Linked DNA regions of Yarrowia lipolytica. The protein of the gene in region 2 interacts with the protein of the main gene of each other region in a biochemical or structural test. Links are inferred from orthologs where the notes say so. Each region holds a gene or a part of one and is shown on either strand. Other genes may lie near its edges.

Region 1 (5,131 bases), on a different chromosome or scaffold from region 2:
CAGAATACCATCCGAACATCGCCCTCCCAGTCCTCGGCAGCTCATGGCCACCTTCTTGGGTCCTCCCTGAGGCGACTTTTGCACCCAGTACCGCTGATCGTCGTTGACAGCAGGCTTTGTGTCGTCCATGGCTCCCTCGTTTGTTCGGAACACGTGGCGAGAACCATCATCTGACCACGAGTCGCCCAGAACAATGTATCGTAGAGGTCTGATCTTGGACCCGAAGGAATGCATCAGAGCAGCCGCTGGATCGTGTCGTAGAGCGTGCCAGGACGTGGCTAGAAACAGCCATGTGATGACCAGCATGAACGAGGCCGCGACCAGCAGCGCAGCCAGGTTCTTTTTACGCAGTCGGATTCCCATGGTGTGGTGTGTGTTGTGGTGATGATGTCAGGTTAGAGTTATCATTCTATAGACATTTTGCACGTGTGAGGTATTTGCGGTGTGAAGGAGAAGTTGCTGGAAATGCACGTGACATATAACAGAGAAAATACCGTGTCCACGTGACACATCACGTGACAAAACCATCCCCGTTATCCCGAGTTCTCTCATCTCCCTACTTGCTACATATACCTCCATCTCCTTTAACGACAGCTTTGGTAAGCGGAGGTTTAAGCTCGATAGGGTTGTGGGATTCGGTGGCGAGGGAATCTGGGATGGGGGGTTTGGGGACTACACAGTGGGGTTATTAGGATATATATATATATATATATATATATATATAGCGGGGAATCAATCTGTGGACCTCGAGGAGGGTGACAATTGTGTGTGTATTTTTGTTATTACGTAATTGTGGCGTGAGATACATGGCGCACTTGTGTACATGGTAGCTGCTTCATGGGGTTTAGAATATGCGTAGAGACCCAACAATGAGTGGGCAGTTTGGTTCTAGGGGGGGTTATATTACACCGTAGGGGGACACCGTAATTGAATCTTACACAGATACTTACAATAGGCTTCTGAAAAGTCTTTTTTTTTTCTTTTCTGGAACGATTTCGTCCCCCAAAGTTTCGTCACAAATCTTACTTGGATTGCAAACAAAATTACTTTGATTTGTTGACTTCGAGACAGTTACAAAAAAAAAATTAGATAACTTTTCATAGTGTCTTGAGAACAACCACCTCTCGTGTTTACTGCAAAATGTAACTCATATTTTATAATAGTCCTAATCTGTCAGCTTCCCCGATCACATAGATACCATAAAATACAATATCCAAGTAATATATCACCTGATCAGTGCCCAAAACAAACCTCCATATCTATGCGGCTCTGAATTTGTCTTGTTCAGGTTAAGAGCAAAACTGAATTTAGAACACTCGACTGCTTAAGCTTTCGTTATCGAGCCGGAGGCGCCAAACGGATAAACCCAACATGACTATACAGCATACACACACACCCAAGAGGGAATGACAGGACACGTTATGTCGATTTACAAGTGTTCGCGACCCTTTTCTCTCATTAAAACTTCCATTTGGGCGTCTTGTTGCTGTGTTGCGTTGCTCTGCCCTTTTCCAATAAAGTTTGCTTGTGCGAGATGAGCTTGTTAACGGTTGTTTGAGAGTACAAGTACTCGTATGTACTACAAGTAGTGCTGTAGGAGGAGTCTAAACGGGATGTTTAGTAAGCCGGATAGTGGGGATACGTTGTTGGACACGTGATATAAATTTCTGCAGTTGTATGTATGTAATACATCTCTATAGATTACCCCCAAAAAGTCCACCTGTGTGTGTCTCCGTGCAACCTGCATACAAGTGAGGCAGCACAATAGCAAGTGATACATAGCAGCATCCCCCAAAGAGACGCTACTGGGGTAAACCGCCGCGAAGAAAGAGAAAGAAAAAAAGCTTTCGAGTCGTATATCATGTGCGAGACACCACACGACCCTTTTCCTCTTTGGTCTCTGCTCTTCTGACCCTCTCTTGTGACCTCTACTTGCCATCTCCCATCTCATCCATACATACACCACACGTGGATTATACTTTTTGGACTGGTCTCTTGTTGTCTTGTCCGAAAGTGAAGTGTACTTGTAGTGTGTCTGGATAACCGAACTTGTGATCGATCGATTCGCTGCACCGGTATCATGTTTTTGGCGCGATCCACGCGGCTGTCTCTCGCGTCACGTGCCCCGCTCAGTCGCCCGTTACTCGTCCACCAAAGACACTTTTCGCCGACCCTCCAGAACGCCTTTTTATCGGCTAAAAAAGAAGTTACTGCCACCACCGCACGCAAGCCCACCACAGTAGTCGCGTCCCCCAGACCCAAAGGAGCGCTCCGGTTCGAACACAAACGGAGCTTGAAGCCGTCGAAAAACGTCGTCACTGCTCTAACACCAGCCTCTCAGCCCCCTCCGGCCCCCTACATTGTCAAGAAACGCCACTCGTTTGTCTACCGGTTTTTCAAGTCCATCTTCACCCGCTGGAGCAAACAGCAGCGGTTGGAACGGCGCCTGAAACGCGAAGAGCGCAAGAAACGACACAAGGCCGGTCAGCCCAAGGGACGAGACATTGCCCGATTGCTGTACTACTACAGAGCGACCCGAAAACCATACTACTTCAAGCACTGGCTGAGAATGAGTGGATACAACACGCGCAAAATCTGGCAGTCCATCAAGACCAAGTCAGAAACGTTTGTGGCTGAGAAATTGACCCAGAACAACGAGCCGTTGGATCTGTCGGAGACGAACCTGGCACCCACAATCACAGCTTACCCCACCTACTCTCGAATGCTTCCTGATGGAACCCATGAGGTGGATATTAAGGGAACCATCTCTGTGCCTGGAGAATGGACGTCGCGAAAGAACCGGTTTATTCTGAACATGGTCAGATCGTATCTCAGTGGCAACTCCGAGGAAAAACTGGAACGAGATATTGCCGCATTGGAAGAAATTGAGAAGGAGAGACAGGGCCGAATGAGTACTAGGGGGTTCAGAAATGGAGCACAGAGTGCCAGTACCCCGGATTTGATTGATTTGGACGGATCTGAGTCGGTTTCGTCTAGATCGACTACTTCTTCACGTGCTTCATCCGTGAGGGATGGATATGAATCTCCCTCGCGTGATTCCCCTACTGCCGGTAGAAGACGAGTCCCCCCTCCCCCTGCTAGTCGCATCTATTCCAGCAGAACAACCACTATTGCCAGCAGCATCTCGCTGGACTCCACTGCCAGTTCTCAATCACTCCCCGCTGACTCTTCCCTGGAAGACACAATCATGAAGGAGCGGTTTGCGCCATTTGTGGCTCAGCCGCTCGTCAACGCCGTCCTCGATGTCACCATTATAGACGACAATGAGCACGCCACGTCGACGACTCTGCATTCCCACACTTCGGGTAAGTTTGGAACTGCTTTGCGGCTCGATTTCAAGCCAACAATCATGAAAATCCATGTCAGAAACACACCCTATTCGGTCCAGCAGGATCTCATCGATGTGTCATATGAGGGAGTGTCTCTGATTTCCGATATTGATGACACCATCAAACACACTGGAGTGACTGGAGACAAAAAGGCCATGATCAAGAACGTGTTTGTGAAGGATCTGGACGGCCTGAGTATCCCTGGAGTGGTGGAGTGGTACAACAAGTTGTCAGGACTGGGTGTTCAGACCCATTACGTCTCGAATTCACCCTGGCAGCTGTACCCGGTCATCAAGGAGTATTTGCACATGCACGGCTTCCCTAGAGGATCCATTCATCTGAAAGACTACGCTGGAGTCTTGTCTCAGCTTTTTGAAGCCCCTGCTGAACGAAAGAAGTTTAATTTGGAGCAGATTCTGCGAGACTTCCCCCAGCGACGCTTCATTCTCGTTGGAGACTCCGGAGAGGGTGATCTGGAGGCCTACGTGGAACTTGCCAAGGTCTATCCCCAACAGATTCTCGGCATCTATATTCGAGACATTACGTCTGACCGAGAACTGGACTACGACTTTCTTAGAGTCGAAATTGCTGCTCTCAAAAAGGAGGCTGATGAACGAGAACGACCAATGAAAGTGGCGCGCAAGCCTGTTCAGCCTGTAAACCTCATGGACTCTCCTATCGGCAAGAAAGTGCCTCCTCCTGTTCCTAGAAAGCCCGTTGGTCTTGCTGGAAAGAAGACCGATGAGAACGTCGACCGAGAACACACTGGAAAACCGGACTCCGCTGCGTCCAATGCTGCCATCGCTGCTACAGCGGCCTATGGAGCCCCCCCTCTGCCTCCGAGACGCAAGATTCAGCCTGAGACTATGAGAAGCATTTCTGATCAGGTCACCAGTGGATCTATGAACGTGGCAGCATCTCAGGAGACGGATGAGACACCTAGACTGTACTCTGACAATGATCGGCAGTTCAAGTGGAAGGAGCGGGTGAGACGAGCGCGAAGGGAGTTACCTGCTAATGTCAGATTGAGACTATGGAAGGAGCCTCCAAAGGTCGAAGGGGAGACACTGGAGCTGGCAAAGACGGTGGAAAAGGAACCTATTAAGGAGCTGTTATAGTCATGTAAAAAGCTCACCCAGAGCTGAAGCGAGTCGTGATCTAGAGCGGCTCTAGACTGAAGTACAGTAGGAACAACGAGCCTTTCTGGAAACGGTAGCATTTTAAATTATTTGATTAGATTTTACCTTGTTAATTTTTCAAGTAGGATTTGCTGTGTTGTAGGAGTGTACAGTATGTAGTGATATACTGCGTGACATTGACAGTTCAGCGTATCTCTCTATACTGTCTCTGATCGATTGGTTTGTTCTATAAACCTCAGAGATACTGGTGAAGTTCAGGTCCGAGAGAGTAGTACAACCAAGGCCGGAGAGGAACGAACTAGGCATGAGGATAACAAACTATTTCTATGGGCGAGAGGTTGTCATCCATTGAACGTCAACTCTCGAGTGTTTCTGGTCATTCTTCAACCTCGGCGGCTATCGAATACACGGCTATATGCAGCGGGGCTGTGTGAGTCGTGACCTACAAAAACGACTCCACAATCAGCTCTTCCTGGGCACAATAAGAACAGATGGGATTATACCAAAAGACATTAGTCTCGGAATTTTTGTCTCAATCAATAAGCCGCGGTGTATTTACCCAGTTTAGTACTTCTATCCACCAGATGTTCTCACAGCTCAGCTCCCTTGTTCTGCGTTATCTTCGGTTACTGTATCTCCTAA
Region 2 (4,931 bases):
GAAGCTGCCGTCGAAGACGTCATTCTAGGTGATGATCTTAACAACACCGACACGCCTGCTTTGTCGGAAACCAAGGTGGTCGGTCTGGGTGAAGCTATGGAGGCGGCTAGACACACAGGAGACCGAGGATTGCTGGCCAACTGGGCGAACAACGCGCCTTTCTCCGAGGACGTACTCAGCATGATTGAGAACATGGACAAGCTAGGCTGGGAAAAGTACGCCGTGTACATTACCGTGATCCATTCTCATGCTGCCATTGTTGCTCGACGAGGGCTTACTCAACAGGGACAGGGTGCAGCTACCCTGCGTCTCTTCAGCGAGATTATTAGATCCAAGATTTGAACACAACAATCTTGTTGCTCGCGGAAGCCAGACGGGCATGCTAACTTATAGACACACAGTATGACGTGGTAATTTATAATAGAAGTTTACAAAACACAGCACTACGACTATTCACACAGTAATCTACAATCAGTTCAATCCATCAAGTCATAATTATTTATACATCATAGAACGATTAGGCTAATCCTGGAGCTCAACAAAGTTGGAAGGGAAGAGGTTTCGCTTGCCGTTGAGCGATCCGGTCCACCAGTCCTCGTCGATGAATTCAATATCTGTGATGATATCGTCCGCCGCGAAGCTCAGTTCATTGTCCTCAGCAGCGTCGTAGTCGTACAGGGCGATGGCAGAGGGGCCAGTGCCAGCTCCGGCAGCAGCGCCGGCAGCAGCGCCCGGCAGCCCGCGGCAGGATCGGGAATGGTGGGCACAGCACCATCCTTAAGCCTGACATAGTTGGAGGGGAACAGACCGGACTCACCCTTGGAGTTGGTTCCGCTCCACCAGTTCTCGTCCAGGAACTCAATGTCGGTGACGATCTCGTCCTCCACGAGATCGATCTCACCCTCCTCATCCTTAGTGTAATCGTACTCCACGGTGGCAGAGGGCTTGCTGGAGACAACAGCAGCAGGAGTGGCAGCAGCAGCACCGCCTCGAGAAGGCAGGGCGGGAGCAGGAGGCTCATCGGCAGCAGGTCGAGATGGCATGGGAGGAGGAGGAGCGTCGTTAGCAACATGTCGAGCAGGCATAGGAGGGGGGGCATCATCGTCGTTGGCGGGAGGAGGGGCGTGTCGAGCAGGCATGGGGGGAGGAGCATCATCTTCTTCCTCATCTTTGGCAGCTCCTCGAGCAGGAGGAGGAGGAGGTCCTCCGGTACCAGCACCAGCAGAGAAGGCGGCCTGAAGAGCAGAGGCGCCCTTGGAGAAGCTGTTGTGCTCGTCCTCATCGTCGTCATCCTCATCAGCGGGGGGTCGAGATGCAGAGGGAGGAGGCGGGGGCACTGTTCGAGCAGGAGGAGGGGGAGCATCATCTTCGTCGGCAGCAGCGGGCTTGTTGAAGGCGCCTCGGAGAGCAGAGACAGAGACAGCGGGAGCATCGTCCTCGTCCTCATCATCGTCGTCGTCGTTTACTCGAGAGGCGGAAGGAGGGGGAGGAGGAATGGTTCGAGAAGCAGGGGCGGGGGTGGACTTCTTGGGCTCGTCATGCACGGCCGGCTTATTGAAGGCACCTCGAAGAGCGGAAACCGATGCGTGGGGCTCGTCATCTTCGTCGTCATCACCACCGAAAGAAGCAGGAGTCTTCTTGTCCTCCTCATCATCGTCGTTCACAGACAGCTTGGAGAACTTGTCGGATGCAGAAGAGACGTTGGAGGTAGACGAAGGCACGGCCACGTCAGGCTGGGGAGTCTTTCCATGCTTTTCAGCCCAGATCTGACCGGGAGTCTTACCGTTCTCAGAGGCAAAATCTCGGGATCCACCAGACACAATTGAGGTCTTGAGACCATACTGAGACGACAGATCACCGGCGGGGGCCAGAGGCTTGGTTCCTCGAGAGGCAGCGGGTGTGAATCGAGACTGGATAGCAGATTTGTCGATCTTGGGCTTGGGCATCTCGGTGAGCCGTCCAGACCCGGAGAAAGCGTTGAGTCGGTCCTTAACAGACTTGGGGGTCTCATCCTCCTCATCGTCGTCGTCTCCACCAATGGTGGTAGGGGGCTTCTTGGAGGGAGTGGGAGTAGAAGAAGACTTGGAGGGCTTCTGGAAGGCCTTCATTCTGTCTTTGAGAGACATAGGCTCGCCGTCCTCGTCCCCGTTCTGGTTGTCCTCATCCTCAACATCGGCGACAGGGGCAGGCTTAGAGGTAGGCTTAGGAGTGGCCTTGGGCTTGGGCTTGTCGAGGTCCGTCTTGATGGGGGTGTTTTCAAAGGACTCCTTGTGTCCCTTGCCCTGGGCTCGGATGGCTGCAATGTCAATTTTACCGACGGGCTTGTAGGAGCCACCGACAATGCCTCGATCTGAGTCGGCGTCTCGTCCCTCGGACGTGAAGGTCGAGGGTCCTCCCTTCTTTCGGATCTCGGCCAGGTCAACCTTGACGGGCTTGTAGGACGACTCAACAGGTGTGGGCTTGGAGACGGGCTTGGTTTCCACTGCAGGGGCGTCTCCCCAGTCCTCCTCATCGGCTCCAGACTTTTGCGTTGTGTAGGTGGGCTTGGTCTTGATGGCCGACGAGATTCCGGGCTTTCTGGATGAGGTGGCTCCGTACTTGGCACCAGAGGCTCGCTCCAGCCGCTCCAGGATCACATCCTCAGTGAGATCGTCTCGGTCTCGGGCAGTCACCTGGACGTGGTAGCCGTGGAAGAGATTTCCAAGGGCATGGAGATGGGGGTTGAAGACACCCTTGGCTCGAGGGTCGGGGACTCCCTCAGGACACCAGCCCACGTAGACAATCTTGGGTAGCTTCGAGTGAGGGTCGGGGACTCGGACCAGGCCGTATTGCAGCTTGCCCTCCTCGAACTCGTCGAGGAAATCGGCCAGAGTGGAAGTGTCAGACTCAGGGATGGCTGCGACCTTGATGGTGGCCGAGGACGCTGTGGGAGAGGTGGCATAACCAAAGATTGCCCAGGGGAACTCGGGGTCATTGCTGACAATGGCGCCGTACACGTCCTTGATCTGCTGGCCGTTGGTAGCTAGGTCGAGAGACATGTTGAAACGTGTGTTGCGGTAATTGGGTGTGTAAGAGTGTGTGTGTGGAGAGACTATGTACAAGTGGTGAGCTAATTGAGAGTTATAGACCAACCATGCACTGTGATGTGGAGTTTAAAGCTCGGAGCAATCGGATGGTGGAGCGGTTCGAATGGGTGATAGAGGGGTGATATGAAAAAAAGTAAGGATGAGAATGTGTTTGTAATGGACAATTGTTTGTGGTTGGGGGTATCATTCTTCTCTTGTATGCCTCCCCTACCCCGCATGAAGGCTGCTCTCTACCTGTACAGAGTTGTATTGTCTATGTCTCAGCACTACACCTCGTACTGGTAGTTACAATAAGCCAGACGTAGCCTAGATGCCGTCTCACGACCCTTTACTTGATTTGCAGTGACTGACAAGATAAATAGCAAGTGCCAGACTGTGAATTGTGACAACATGTCCTTGCTGTCCTCTTTTTCATTGTACTTGTTGTTGTACGTCTGGCTGTTCTGCATAAACCGGATTTTTGTCTGTTGCTATCTCCGGATGGACTTTCAAGCTCTTTCAAGCGAATGAACCACCCAATTGGGATCGGATTTAAGCAGCTTTATTGAGTCGCTCTTTTCTATAACTAGTATTGCTAGCCACTCTTTGTATCCCCAAAGGTCAGTGTACACAGCCCCCAGGAGGTCAATTTACGCGGGCTTTTATCCGCAACACCATCCACGCAGCACACATGTATGACGTATGATCAAACCATGAGTTGGAAATAGATGCTGTAGGCGATATGTACGACGTTCAAGTACTTATGGTCAATGCGCAACAGATAATGAAAAGTGTGAGTCATGCGGTCTAGTCACGATGAAATTTGAATCTCGCACGGTCTCTATTCAATTTGGAACTAATTGTAGTCTCTACTGTAGCTAAGCCATACGGCTGATATCTGTCTCCACTTGAGTGGTTTAAGCTGTCAAGTAAAATGAGGGATAAACTGAGTGTGAGGGATGTTCTCAAAATGTGAGTGATTGACTATATATAAGCCAAAATCTTGTTTTTCTAGCGATAGCCATCATGGCCGTGTCATCCTATTGGCCAGAAGAGAAAATGCTACACAATCCCTACAGTATGTACAGTACTCGTACTCGTGCAGTAGTTTACCCAATGTATTACAATATCTCATCGATAAACTCAGCTTTATCGCAACAATGGCATTGCATTTAAAGTGGGTGTGGTAAGAGTACAGTATGTACGTATTATTGTCAATTGAAAACACGTTTACATTTGACTCTTTCAAGGACAAGAAAGTATTTGAGAGATGAGTGCAATTTGTATCTGATTCTCATACAAAACGTCGTTCATTCCACTGAAAATACATCTTGCTGACAGCAACATTTCTCTCTCCACTTTAATAACGACCCACAATCCCTAACCCCTCCTTCACAGATGTCATGCGCATGAACATCTTCCGCCGTCCTTCGATCCACAAACTGGTGATGGTTGCGACAACAAGAACGCGAACCAAGCGAAGTCTGGCTGAACCTGAAACAACAGCGCCTGTGGTGACTCCCAGTACTCCCAAAAGACAGAAAACCAAGCTTGAGATCCCTACTACTCCCTTGGCTCCAGCCCCTAAGATTTCCCTGGCTGAGTCTATCAAGCTGATACCCAAGCTAGATCCTGTAACCAAAGACAACAGTCACTGGGACGAAATTTACGAATCAGATTTCTCCAAGGGCCTCAAGTACATTCTCGATGTCGATCCTTCTCTGGAGGATATCGTACACTCGTCCGAGTTCACTTCTTTTGTCAAAGAAGCTGCTACTCGGCAAGAGTCCAGAACCAACAGAAAGTGTAACAATTGCTTCGAACATCTTACAAGGGGCATCATTGGACAACAGGTATCTGGAGCAG

The links.
Region 1: the proteins of YALI1_B18645g (region 2) and YALI1_D02546g interact in a test that uses a peptide from one of them, tested with the Saccharomyces cerevisiae proteins (2 studies listed by BioGRID). The link is inferred for Yarrowia lipolytica from reciprocal best matches to the Saccharomyces cerevisiae genes ABP1 and APP1.

What each region holds. Positions count from the first base shown.
Region 1 is NC_090773.1:251,553-256,683, reverse strand, and holds YALI1_D02546g (uncharacterized protein), read left to right. Parts: upstream 1-2,080; coding exon 2,081-4,468; downstream 4,469-5,131. Other genes in the region: YALI1_D02563g (uncharacterized protein), read right to left, coding at 1-363. UniProt on the Saccharomyces cerevisiae protein: Mg(2+)-dependent phosphatidate (PA) phosphatase which catalyzes the dephosphorylation of PA to yield diacylglycerol. May play a role in vesicular trafficking through its PAP activity at cortical actin patches.
Region 2 is NC_090771.1:1,862,702-1,867,632, reverse strand, and holds YALI1_B18645g (uncharacterized protein), read right to left. Parts: upstream 3,039-4,931; coding exon 642-3,038; downstream 1-641. Other genes in the region: YALI1_B18687g (uncharacterized protein), read left to right, coding at 1-342; YALI1_B18631g (uncharacterized protein), read left to right, coding at 4,469-4,931. UniProt on the Saccharomyces cerevisiae protein: Regulates ARP2/3 complex-mediated actin assembly. Recruits ARP2/3 complex to sides of preexisting actin filaments, which may promote nucleation or stabilization of filament branches. Binds to actin filaments, but not actin monomers.